Rattus norvegicus: one gene and its partners. The protein of the gene in region 3 interacts with the protein of the main gene of each other region in a pairwise test. Links are inferred from orthologs where the notes say so. Each region holds a gene or a part of one and is shown on either strand. Other genes may lie near its edges.

Region 1 (4,248 bases), on a different chromosome or scaffold from region 3:
TGGTGGGCTAACTGTGTGCCTGCTGAACCTGGCAAATAAACGTCACCCTGCAAAGCCTCTGGCCACCCTCTTGCCTTTGCTTCCTCTGTCCTATTGGGGAGGAGCCTATGGAAGGCAGTGTGGGAGGGAAGAGGCCATGGGAGCAGTTCCGGGTAGCGGCTGATGCTCAGTGCATTGCTTGGGGTAAGAGTGGAGGTCACCTTCTCCGATGTGTACCTGGATGATGTTAATGGTAAATCCTCTGGGCTCAAAAAAACCATGAGTGGTGTGTTTAAGCCAAGAAGTATCCCTAGCCGAGCACTGAAGGGCTGATGCTTTTCCAATTCTTGTTGACGAAGAGCCTTTGTCTTAACTTGGACATAGAGGTGGAATCCACTCAGGGACAACCACTATAGGAAGTGACCTTGTTCATGGGCACAGTGGGCCTCCTTGGGCTGGGGAGAAAGTGGGGTTGCACAAGTTTTGTGCTGTATGTTGATGCCTACTTCCTGTGAATACCTGTGCTTTCCACTTAGACCAAAAAGATTTCATTCTGTCTTCCCTGGCTGACGCAGACCTGCTTTATAATATGGAGTCATGTATGTTCCTTTTGGGGGAGTAATATTGCTAATGATACTATAAAAATCCCTAAGGAGATTCGCTTCAACTCGGAGGGGCTTTGGTAAACTCATCTGGGTTGCTTTCTCAGGGAGGACCTTAAATTATCTGATGTGGGAATAATAAAGAGGGTTTGCTATTTCCTGGTCTTTGAAGCATCTGTACCTCCAAAATCACCATCCCACAATCCCAGGCATGAGGAATCCTGGGAGGTTAGGGCTAAATTACTGGCCCTAGTGTCTACCCAATCTCAAAGATTATTAGGTTATATTTGAATGAAGCCAGGGCTAGTGTAGTGGTTTGAAGGGTTAGGACTTAACCTGTCCATCTTTACAAGGTCATCATAATAGAAGGCTGAGAAAGTGGGGGGCTTCTTTCTGTCGGGAACTGCGGGTTTCCAGTGTATGGCCTATTACTTTCCATAGCCATGGTACCATCATCCCTTTTTCTTGGCATGCCAGTCTATTTGACTGTCCCAAAGTGCAGCAAGAAAGGGTCTGGTTCGCTTCTCACCGGCTCTAGCTTGAGACAATGCCCCGCTTGGCAGGGATAGGGGTCAGACTGTAGCTTCACTGTTTTCTGCCACAGTCTATCACAGGTTTTTGGTTTTTTGTTTTGTTTTTGTTTTTTTCCGGTAGATGCACTTAGACTTCAAAGACCTACGTCCCAGGATTCCACACGGCTGGCGGGTTGTTTATCGCAGCCGTCCCAGCGCCCCGCCCCGAAGTTTGTCCAATCAGGGGGGAGCAGTCAGAAGTGGGTTTGTTATGACTTCCGGTTCACTGCCGGAAGTCGTGCGGTGGAGCGAAATTTGAAGGAGTGGGAACCGCGGCCGGTTCGGCCACCCAACTGTGTCTGTTGCTGGCTGCTGGCTCTCTGTGCTGCTTGAGCCGAGCCATCATGCCTATCCGCGCGCTGTGCACTATCTGCTCCGATTTCTTCGATCACTCCCGTGACGTGGCTGCCATCCACTGTGGCCACACTTTTCATCTGCAATGGTGAGTGACGGCGAGGTGTAGGGCCCCAGTGCGTGTCCTAGAACCATTTAGACGCTAACGCCATTGGTTGTCCATAGAGACAATCCATCCTTGGATCTAAGACAAGTGACGACGACATTAGAGGAGCCTCACGGAAGCTTTCCAACGTGGGCAGAAGTGGGCCAGGTGGAAGTAATACAGGTAGCCCAGGGAGGGATACAGTGAAAAGAGTTAGGTGCTAAGAAATGTGCCTTTAAAATTATTAGTCTGAGCGAAGATGAACTTTTACCGCACTAACGAAGCATTTTATTTGAGATTCAAAAAATTGACCAACAACTTGGTAGGTTTTTGGCAACCCTTGAGAGTCTGTGTCATTTGCTGGATGAATTGGGTTGTTTTCATCCAGAAACATCTCGTTGGTCAGACACTCCAGGAAACCTGACTTAATTTGGAATGGCAAGGAAGTGCCTTCCTGTCAACGGGTCCTGAAACTCAACTGTTTCATGAGTGACAAAAGACAGTCCCTTTGCAACTGGGCAGGCTGGTTCAAAGCTCCCAACAAAAGAGAAAATAAGGTAGAAAAGAAGTCCTTTGGGGAGACTGGGAGGTTTGGGAGGGGAAAAAGGGTCCAAGAGGCAGGAAGAGGTGTGAACACTACGGGTGTCTCTTATTTGAAAAGCTTTGTTTAAAACCAGTGTTACAGTCTGCAGTGTTGCATATCCCAGTACAGGCTGGAGAGGAGGGAAAGTGTGGAGACAGAGTGATCGGGAGTTTTAAGGTCAGTCTCAGCTACATAAGTAAGGGAGAAGTCAGCCTGGACTTTCTGAGACTTTGTGTCAAACAAACAAAACAAACAAACAAACAGAACCACATATTTTAAGTTATGTGTTCTATGTGTGTGTTTGTGTGGCTATGTGCATGGGAGTGTACGTAACCTCAGAGGCCAGAGTCGTCTGATCTCCATGGAACTGGAACTACAGACAGTTGTGAGTCACCCGATGTGGCTGCTGGGAACTGAACTCAGGAAGGACAGCTGGAAGAGCAGTACCAACGCCTACCCTCAACCAGTGAGCTATCCTCTCTCCAGCCTTTTAAACACAAGCAAACAAACAAGCCTGGCTGTGTATGGCTCAGGAGAACTGGTTCTGTTTCTTCAGCCTCCTAGAGCTCAGACTGCAGGTGTTCGCTCCATGTGTCCCCATCCCTCAGATCCATGCCCCAGGCATGGAAGGCAAGGGCTCTTCGGCCGGTTTATCCCCCCAGGCCTTGTATCTATTTTTGTTTGTTTGTTTTGTTTTTGAAATAGGGTCTTGCTGTGTAGTGTTGGCTTGTCTGAGATTCAAGGCAATCCTCCTGCCTCAGCCTCCTGAGTACTGGGATTGCAGGTGAGACCCACCACTCCTGGCTCCCACCTACCTATGTACTTTGTCTCGTGTATCCTAGGCTGGCCTTGAACTTGCTGCATAGCCAGGGATGACCCTGGGTTTCCCCCCCCCCCCCCCCCCGGAGCTGGGAACCGAACCCAGGGCCTTGCGTTTGCTAGGCAAGCGCTCTACCACTGAGCTAAATCCCCAACTCCGACCCTGGGTTTCTAATCATCCTGTCTCGATCTCTCAAGTGCGGGAAGTACGTACTACCATGCTTGATTTATATGATGCTAAGGATTGAATAATGCTGGGGCTTTGTGCACGCTTGGCACTGTTCATTGAGCTACATTCCAAGGCCTTCCTACCCCCACGTATATTTGAATAAACTTTTTTTTTTTTTTGAGACAGGGTCTTACTATGTAGCTGACCATGAACAAGGAGATCCACCTGAGCTTGGAAATTAAAACTGTATACCACCCCACCCAGCACTCTTTTAAACATCTTTTTTTTTTTTTTTTTTAAGATTATTTTATGTATATGCGTACACTGTCGCTGTCTTCAAACACACCAGATGAGGGCATTGGATCCCCATTCCAGATGGTTGTTAGCTACCATGTGGTTGCTGGGATTTGAACTCAGGACTTCTGGAAGAGCAGTCAGTGCCCTTAACCGCTGAGCCATCTCTCCAGCTCTGTTTTAACCATCCTCAGATGCTGATTCAGTGGCATTAAGTACATTAGCAATGTTATGTAACCTTCAGTGTCGTTATCCGAACGTGCCATCAGCTGGACAGAAGCACATACCCCATTGAATACTAACTCTCTGTGTAACTCCCCCCAGCCCCTGAGACCCTCTGCTGCCCCTTGTGTACCTGAGTTCCCCATACCTGGGATCCCATGTAGGTGGAGTCCTGTATCCTCTGCCCTTCCGAGAATTCCATGTAGCATACTAATTTTAACATTCACCCATCTCTTAGTGTGTATCAGAATTTCATTGCTGTTGTGGCCAATGTTTAATTGTATGTATGAAAATACCATATTTTGTTTATCCGCTCGTTTGTTGATAGACAGGTATTTCCAGATTTTGACGGCTGTGAATAATGCTTCTGTGAACCGCTGTACAGATACCTGTCTGAGTCCTTGTTTCCAGTTCTTAGAATGTATACCTGGGAGCGGAAAGACTGGGCCATATGGAGATTCTATATTTAGGTTTTTTTCGGAACTGGCATACTATTTTCCACAACAGCTGCCGACTTCTCTCTCTGCGTCTCTGTCTGTCTCCCTCTCTTTCTCTCTCTCTCTCTCTCT
Region 2 (4,323 bases), on a different chromosome or scaffold from region 3:
ATAAAAAAAAAATAAAAAAATAAAAATAAAATAGTTGGGCCTCAAGGAGATGACCCTGCTGCCAAGCTCCAGAACACCCAGTCATAAAAGGCATGGTGGGAGACAGCAGGAGTGCACCATGTCTAGCAACATATTCTCTTTATCAGAGTGAGTTAATTTGGAGGAGGCCAACAGGAAGGGACTGAGATTTCTTACCCCCTGGACGCCAGGCGGGAAGACATATTGGATGACAATGGTGCCGTACTTCTCATAGCTGGGCAACAGGAGGGTGGCGTCCTTGGAAACCAGCATCCTCCCATTCTGGGGCTGGTTGCCCACCAGCTGCCCGTAGAATCGGCCGCACATGGGGCAGGCCTTTTTCACCTGCAGGGCCCTTGTGATGCAGCCCTCACAGAAGGAGTGCCTGCACTTCTCCAGCGTCTTGGCATTCTGTATCTCCCCCAGGCAAATGGGGCAGGTGGTTTCCTGCTCTTCAGCATCCTCTCTGAGACGAGGAGGGAGTGGAGGGGGCAGGGGAGGAGGAGGAGGGGGGAGCCCTCTTGCCCCTGGGGGCAGGAGTGGGGCTGCTCGGAGAGGAGGTGGGCCTGGGCGGTGCAGCTCAGGGTGCTCCCCTCCACCCCCCAAAGCCAGGCAGCCCATGAGCTCCCCCTGCCTCTGAGCTTTCTTCAGCTCTTTTTCTGCCTCTTTCAGTAGCCCCTTGAGAGCCTTCCTGGCCAGGTAGAGCCCATTGGGGGGGGCCGGGGGAGGACCCTGTGGAGACAGCTGGAGCACATAGATGTCAGAAGTCTCGCCATCTATGAGGATGGACACTCGGTGCTCCTCCCGAAGCCGGGCCAGCCGGGCTGGGGTCTCCTTGCTCAGGAAGTCCCACACAGGCTTGGAGACTGTCACTTTGTTCTTGCAGGAGCCTCCACAGGCTGCCATTCTGGACAGGACGAACGACACTGCCCCCAGGGTGAAAGGGACTCAGAGTGGGGCGTCCCCATTTGGCAGATAAAAGTGCCTCCTACTTCAGGCTCCCTCCAAACCCCATATTACCTCTGTTTTCCTCAAAGCCAACCCCTAACAGCGCCTGCAAACTAAGGTTTTCTATCTCCCACTTCTCTCTTATAGTCCCAGCACCCTTTGGGAACAAGTTTCCATATTTCATCATTATCTAAGCCAAGTACCAGTCTTGCTTGCCTCTTTCATTTCTCTCCTGAGCACAGCAACCTACCCCTTCCCCTCAGAGTGGAAAAAAAAAAGGGAAGGAGACTTCCCACCCCCACCCCCACTCCCACCCCCTCCCATTTGCTCACTTTGATCCGGAAGAGCTTAGAATTGGCATGCAGGCTCACTCTCTTTCCCCCTTGCTACTTGGAGATCGTGTGGCCTGGTGGGATGGGAAAGAAAAGAAAGTAAGAAACCTATTCCCCAACCCCCACAGGCCCCAACTCAGGAGCCCTTGAAACAGCCAGGAATCTGGGGTAGGGGTACTGGGCAATGGGGATTTCTCGGAACATAGGAGGACATGAGAACTGAGGTTCTCTTGGGGCACAGGTACCTGAAAAGACCACGGTATGGTGGTAGCGGATCCCTCCACCTCCACCTTCAGCTGGCCAGAGCTGGGGACGAGGAAGGTAAAGAGTTATGATAGCATTTCCTCAGCCAGCCCAGAAAGAAAACGCTCCTCTATTTCCTCTCTCCTGCAGGATCCTCTCCAAGTTGCTCAAGGAACTTCATCAGGCTAACTTCTCTTTTTCTCCCAGTGCAGAGGGAGATCCTAGGTGCAGATAAAGACAGGAAGGAGAAAAAAAAAAAAAACGGCCTCATAGGATGAAGGTCGTACATGCCACCTCCCTCAGATTACACTGACAGAAATATCTCCTATGTTCCTCGCCTCATTTCTTTACGTTCTCAAATAGTTCAAGTCCCTGTTGTTGACAGGGACCTTTCCTTGAGAGCCGGAAGTCTGTTAGGGATGCCAGTAAAGTGTTAGCAGTCCCGCAATAACAAAGTTCTCATTGTCACCTTTAAACCCAGTGCCTGCAGAGCTGTTGTCAGCAGCAAATCAGGCAGGAGCTCAGCTCCAGGGACCTGAGCCCTGTCAGTCAGCTCCAGGCCTTTCCCACAACATAAAGTACAGCCCAATTAGGAAGAGGGGCTGTTAATGTGACCCCAATTCCTTGTGATCCAAAAAGAAGCCGCTGTCCGTCTGTGCCTCTATCATAGGATCCTTGAGATGAAAACCTAGAGTCTCAACCCGCACGGTCTGTGCACGGTGAAATGCCCCCTTCCCACCAGAGAGAACCCAGGATCTAGGTGTCCTAGCTCCAAGTCCTGCTGGCACAGCACAGGGAGGCGGGGCCACAGTTCAGTCTGGGTCTAGCATTCCTCTGGGGCAAACCAGGCCGGACACGAGACCAGTCTCTTCCTCTAGACAGCAGCAGCTGTCAGGGACGGCGAGAAAGAGCAAGGGTCCCCTGGGGGGTGTCCACTGAGGCACCCCTACCCTTCTCCCCCAGACTGCCCCCGGATCCATCCGACCCGAAACCAACTCCCGCATCCCTACTCGAGGAAGCCCCGGAGTCTCGCCGCTTGGTGAGGGTGTGTGTCCACCTGACTGCGGCCCTCAGAACCCCCAAATGGAGGCCAGGGCTGGAGGTGCGGGAAAGATGACAGGCCCGGCCCCGGGGTCGCCCCCTTCTCCCGCCGCGCGCGCGCAGGGGGCCAATGGCGGAGGAGGGGGCGGAGGAAAGCGGGGGAGCTTGTGAGGGTGCGGACCCGGCCTGGGGGGCACGCGGTGGGTGTGGGGGCGCCGGGCTCACCTACCTCTCGTCAGCGCCGCCATTGCCGGTCACATGACTGAGGCTGTTGCTGGGATGACGGTCCGGGCCTTAGCAACAAGGGGCGGGGTGGGGGGGGGAGACCCCGAGAAGGTGGAAGGGGATGCCGGGGTGCAGACTGAGAGAAAGGAGGGGGAGAGCACCCTTCCTCTTGGTGGGTGATAATCACCGTTTCCTTTGACCCCCTCCTACCCGGGAGCCCCTGCCTCTGCCCCAAAACAAAAATGGAGGCGCAGTTCCAGTCTTTGGTGGGAGGGGTGGCGTCATGTAGCCGAGGGTAGGAGGTTAAATCCCTTAGAAACGCCACTCTCTTGGCTTCCCCTCCCGGAGGAGCCCTCTCCCCACCTCTTTCCCAGCCAACTGTGTGACACCTTTAGGAACTGGCAGGGATGGGAGCAGGCGGGTATATGGATTTGGAAGGGGGGGGGGCAATTTTTTGAAATCTTACGCTGGAATATGTTGGATGGGAAGTTTTAGTTAAAAGGAAAACATTGATACTACAAAATAAACCCTGTGACTAAACTACTTCAATCCCCTCCCTCAACTCTTGCCTCCTTCCAGACTGTTACCTCCGGTGACCCCCCCACCCCCACCCCGCGCAGCCTGTTGCCAAATGGGGGCTGATGACTAGTTTTCCACAAATAGGGACATAGGTCAGTGCAGAATGCGAGGTGGATAGATCCTTTAAAAATGGCTTGGGGTGGTGTTAGTGTCAAGTACGTGGCTCAAATAGAGTTAAAAATTCCCGAAGAAAAAAAGCTCTGCTCCGCTCTGCTTCCCTACAGAGCTGTCTCCGCCTCCTCCAACTCACTTCCCTGGGGCCACATCAAGCCAGGTTTTTCCACCAGCCGAAAGACCTCCTCAGCCAAGACAGTACTGAACCTCCCAGACTAGCAACAACCACGTCATCCACCGCTGTCCATCCCCTCCCCCCTGACCTGAAGAGGACTGGTCACTCCTTCACTTTCCCAGGACCCTGCTGTACTCTTCCTGCCCCCTAAGCTTTCCCAGGAAGCCTGGGTGAACACAGAATTCCTTCCTTCCTACATAGCTGGTACCGAGAGAGAGAGAGAGAGAGAGAGAGAGAGAGAGAGAGAGAGAGAGAGAGAGAGAGAGAGAGAGAGAGAGAGAGAGAGAGAGAGAGAGAGAGACAGGGAGAGGGAGAGGGAGAGGGAGAGGGAGAGGGAGAGGGAGAGGGAGAGGGAGAGGGAGAGGGAGAGGGAGAGGGAGAGGGAGGGAGGGGAGGGGAGGGGAGGGGAGGGGGAAGAGAGAGAGACTGACTAGTTGCTAAAGTTAACAGATGGAGGAACCAGAGCCTAGGGAAGAGGGACACCATCCCACTTTTCCCTGGCTGCCATTACTGTTCAATTCTCACAAGGTTGGTGAAATGTTTTCCGGTCCCATGTCCACCCCACACCTCTAAGTTCATAGCCATCTTAGAATATGCCCCTGCATCGACACACACATACTCAAGAACCCCAACACCTTGAAGACCAAT
Region 3 (4,358 bases):
CACACTAAATGGAACTCAGAGATCTGCCTGCCTCTGCTTCTCCCGTGCTGGGATCAAAGTGTGCTCTGACAGGTCAGTTATCTTTACAAAGGCACTTAAAACAGGCAAAAAGGAAATCAAGTTGTAAGACCCACCAAAACACTACCAAATGAATTAAACCTGTATGACACGGTGAATTAATGACTTGACCAACTACTCAAAAGCTCATATTTAGGGTTGGGGATTTAGCTCAGCGGTAGAGCGCTTGCCTAGCGAGCGCAAGGCCCTGGGTTCGGTCCCCAGCTCCGAAAAAAAAAAAAAAAAAGCTCATATTTACGCACTTAAAAGGGAAATATGTAGACTGCACTATGGGTTCTTCACTCAGGTGAAATCAACACAACCTATCTAGGGAAATGAAATAAAATACTGGTGAGGATAAAGCTAACTGTTGGCTGTGGTTTTTTACAATATTAAATTTTATCTGATCTTTTCCAAAATATTCTTTGCAACTTACTTCCTTGAACTGAATTCCCTGCTAGGTTTTTAAGGCACCATTCTTGAACTCATATTTCCTATTTCCTTCCTGAGAACCATTGACAATGTTTTTAACCAGAGGAGGAGCTTTTATCCGATTTGCACACTTGGGTGTAGAGGTCAAAGAGAAACCTTCTAGCATGTGGGTCTGAATCTGAACTCGGTCATCAGGCTCCTCAGCCATCAATTAAATAGTAGAACAGTAAATGGAGCTGGCCACTCAGCCCATCAGTTAAATAGTAGAATAGTAATAATATGTACTACTAGAGTCATACAAATGCCGATAATCTTCAACTTAAACACCAAATGCCATGGTGAAAAGTCAGACCACACAAAGCAAAGAGGGTATATCAATTTTCAGGGCAGTAACTTGACACTTTTAGATAAAAGAAAGCATGAGAGGTCTAAAGACCCATACAACCTTATTATAGAATACATGTTGTAGGTTGTTAACAACATAAGAATATACAACGACCCCAAACTAAGTTTGCTTATTAAAGAAAAAGTTTAAATAAATCACCATTAAAAATGTGAATACTGTCATTCATATTGTTTCTGCATTGTTTCACAAAAATACAAAGTCATCCTTCCATTCAGAGTTTTGGCAAATGAATACAGAGGTCAGAGTTCATGCTACGTAAGACAGATCCCTACGTATTTCTTAGTATGCTCACTAACGCTGCTAACATTGTCACTTCAATTTTAAGTGACTTTCTTCATGTCTACTTGGAACGATGGATAATTGTCTGCAAGCTTGGGGGCACAATAAAGCTGGAGAGCTACAAGATTTCTAACAATTTCTCATATGCTTAAAATGACGAATTTTAAAAATCATTAATGACATTATCAGAGTACCAAGCAAGCATAATAGGAAAACTGTGAACCTTGAAAAAAATAATTACTTTCAGAATTGTTAAGTTCAATCATAGAAAAACTGGCATTTTTGTCGATTTAGCACTTTTATAGCAGAGTAAAATTATTACTTTCAATATTTCACATAAATAAATCTGGTAAGCATTAATATGCTTAAAATTTGCAGGACTTACAGGCAGTCAGAGTTTTATTTTTTAAATATGCTATTTCCTGATATATTTTGTGACAGAAAAATAAACCTAACTCAATAATGAGCTACAACAATGTGTATCTGATGAAATCCCTTGGTTTTAATAGGCCTCTTTTTAAAAGTAAGACTCAAGTTAACTATGAGGGACATCATAATGAAGTTTCACAGTACAACACTAGTCACAGAGGCATTACCCTAGGAGAGCCTCTCTGATACGGGTGAACAGTATTTTGAAATAAGCTACTCACACACTCCCATTATTCTTCCTATTTCAAATCATTTAATTAACAAACAACTTGCCTTTGACTAGACAAAAAGCTTTAAATATCAGTGAGGAGGCCTAGTTACTTACTGGCTGGGTACGTAGAAAAGAGATGACTATCTAATTTGGAATTATTTTTTTATCTATAGTGAAAATTGTTTCAACACCCCTTCCCAATTCAAGAATGCCCATTATGTCTCCATAGATCCCCCAGCACTGTACCGTAAGGGAGCAACTGAAAGTCTTCTCGTCTATACCTAAAGACTGTGAAGGCTCCTTCCCCAAGGAAAAGACAGCAAAGGCCTGGCAGGCAATATCCCCAGTACCCCTGAAAGCGTGGGCCTGTGAGGTGCGCTGCTGCCGGGGATCTAGTTACTACCTTTCCCCTTCCCCCAACCCACTTCCCGGGTTTTCTCGGCCTGTTCCTTCCCCACCGTACAGTCACACTTCCAGATGTTGTTGCCGCCGCCTCGGGGCTCTCTCTAGAGCTCACGTGCCCGGGACGAGTGCTTCGGCATCTGCCCCCCAAACCCTGTTCCTCCCCAGGCCGGCCGGCCGCCCGCGAGACCGCCTATCCCAGGGCCCGGGGAGGGGAGGGAAAGGCGGCGGGAGGAGGAGGGGAGACCGCCGCTTCCCCATAGGCAGAAAGGCGGCCGCAGCGAGGCCGGCTGGGACCGCCGGGGTCGCGGAAGGAAGGGCCCTGCCGCCCTGGGCTGAGATGGGGGTGTCCGGTAGCTCATTCCTGACCTCCTCGCTCTTCAGCACCTCCTTGAACTCCCGCTTGATTCGCTGCACCGCGATGTTGGCCATGTCTCTGCCCGCAGCTGATTCGTACCCGCCTCCTCCGCCACCGCTACGACCACCGCCACCGCTGCCACCTCTTCCTCCACCGCCTCCTCCCTCAGTGATTCAGACCCGAGCACACGAACGCTGCCACTGCCACCCTTGCCGTCGCGTTCCCCCTCAGTGTAGAATCACCTCCGCGCCCGGCCACCAAAATGGCGCCGGGTCCGCGCATGCGCACCACGCTGACCCGGGCGGGCGGCGCAGCCGCTCCAGTGGTAGCCCCATACGTCTCAGCAGCGAGCCCGCGCCGCGCGTCTCAGCCGGGGCTTCGGCCGCGTGGCTCCGCCCTGCCGGCGGCTGGGGCCAGGAGGGTGCGGTTTCTGTGCCGGTCCGCGGGGTTTGGGCCTGCGGGGTCCTCCCCTGCCCCTCGGCCCCCTTTACGGTGAGGCCTCCAGTCCCTAGCCACGGACCCGAGGTGGGAGCCCCGCCTGGCGGGTTCCCGGGGCCCCAGCCGGGCTGAGCCTCGCTCTAACTCGGCCAGACCCAGAACCCACGGGCTAGAGGTGCCTCCCTGTGTCTAGCGGAGGAAAAAACTATGCAGGAACTGGGTCCTGCCCAGCGTCCGTTGGTAAACCCCCGGGATATCCACTGCCGTAGCTTTTGTTCTGGAACCATGATAACGCAACTATTATTCGGTCATCTCAGGTATTACAGATTTTTAAGGTTGTGTAATGGTTGCGTCCCACGGGTTGTAATTGATACAGGTGTTGCCGGGGACAGGCCTGTGATGAGTTTAAAAGCCAGAAGTTAAATCTTTGACCTGTTTAGATAGTCAATGCTGAGCTGTAGAACTAACATGTTTTTCAAACTTGAACGCACCTCGGAATCCCTGGAGAGCTGGTTAGATTACTAGGACCTATCCCTAGAGTCTGGATGGGGCTAAGAATTTGCATTGCGAGCAAACTCCCTGCTGCCTGTTTTTCAGCGACCACGCTGTGAGAATGGCTGAATTAAGCATGTGAAAGTCTGTATAATTTATAGTGACAGTTGGAGAAATAGAAGGCCGAAAGAACTTTAGACCTACAAAGGTTTTTGGCGCTCGTAGATGTCAATAAGCAGTGAGTGAATATAATTGAGTGGAGAAAAGATGACCGAGTAAAATGTTTTAATTGAGCAACAACGTTGAGAGGCTATTTGAAAGTGGTTAGTAGAGTTTAAAACAAATAACGGAATGTAGATGCTGAGGAATACTTTTGAAAATAACATTGTGAAATAATGAAGGTATTATTTTAGGAGTATGTTTCATGTATTCACCTAATCAATCAGTTCAGTATTCCATCATAAGACTAATACGAGCTGAATGTAGTGGTATAGGCTTGTAATCCTAGATTGGGAGACAGAAGCAGGAGGATCATGAGTTCGAGAGAAACCAGTCTAAGAGTGCTCCCACTTCTCTCCTATATCCGTTGCCAGCTGCGGTTCCCTCGTCTGTGAAATGAGGAGGTTGTTTAAACTTAAGAGTTCAAAATTCTGAAACATCTCAAAGCCTTTCCCTGAGTAGACAGACATAAATTATAAAAGATCTTATAGCAGAGCCCTCTAGTGGTTATAAGGACCGTCAACTATATACTGAACAACTGAACACTACAAAGGATTTTTGCTATGATATAAATCTAGAAATGTTGTAGGTATCTATGCCAATACAACCTAAAACACTTTCTATCCCACTCTGTC

Evidence for each region. The genes of interacting proteins can lie anywhere in the genome.
Region 1: the proteins of Ube2k (region 3) and Traip interact in binary tests that used the Homo sapiens proteins (3 or more experiments, as listed by UniProt). The link is inferred for Rattus norvegicus from reciprocal best matches to the Homo sapiens genes UBE2K and TRAIP.
Region 2: the proteins of Ube2k (region 3) and Dtx3 interact in binary tests that used the Homo sapiens proteins (3 or more experiments, as listed by UniProt). The link is inferred for Rattus norvegicus from reciprocal best matches to the Homo sapiens genes UBE2K and DTX3.

Annotation. Positions count from the first base shown.
Region 1 is NC_086026.1:117,519,060-117,523,307, forward strand, and holds the start of Traip (E3 ubiquitin-protein ligase TRAIP), read left to right. Parts: upstream 1-1,416; 5' UTR 1,417-1,497; coding exon 1,498-1,595; intron 1,596-4,248. UniProt on the Homo sapiens protein: E3 ubiquitin ligase required to protect genome stability in response to replication stress.
Region 2 is NC_086025.1:64,900,921-64,905,243, forward strand, and holds the start of Dtx3 (probable E3 ubiquitin-protein ligase DTX3), read right to left. Parts: upstream 2,833-4,323; 5' UTR 2,812-2,832; intron 2,766-2,811; exon of another isoform or gene 2,552-2,765; intron 1,763-2,551; 5' UTR 1,544-1,762; intron 1,373-1,543; 5' UTR 1,328-1,372; coding exon of another isoform or gene 1,300-1,327; coding exon 1,299-1,299; intron 945-1,298; coding exon 196-944; intron 57-195; exon of another isoform or gene 1-56. UniProt on the Homo sapiens protein: Regulator of Notch signaling, a signaling pathway involved in cell-cell communications that regulates a broad spectrum of cell-fate determinations.
Region 3 is NC_086032.1:43,069,355-43,073,712, forward strand, and holds the start of Ube2k (ubiquitin-conjugating enzyme E2 K), read right to left. Parts: upstream 2,817-4,358; 5' UTR 2,649-2,816; coding exon 2,586-2,648; intron 1-2,585. UniProt on the Homo sapiens protein: Accepts ubiquitin from the E1 complex and catalyzes its covalent attachment to other proteins. In vitro, in the presence or in the absence of BRCA1-BARD1 E3 ubiquitin-protein ligase complex, catalyzes the synthesis of 'Lys-48'-linked polyubiquitin chains.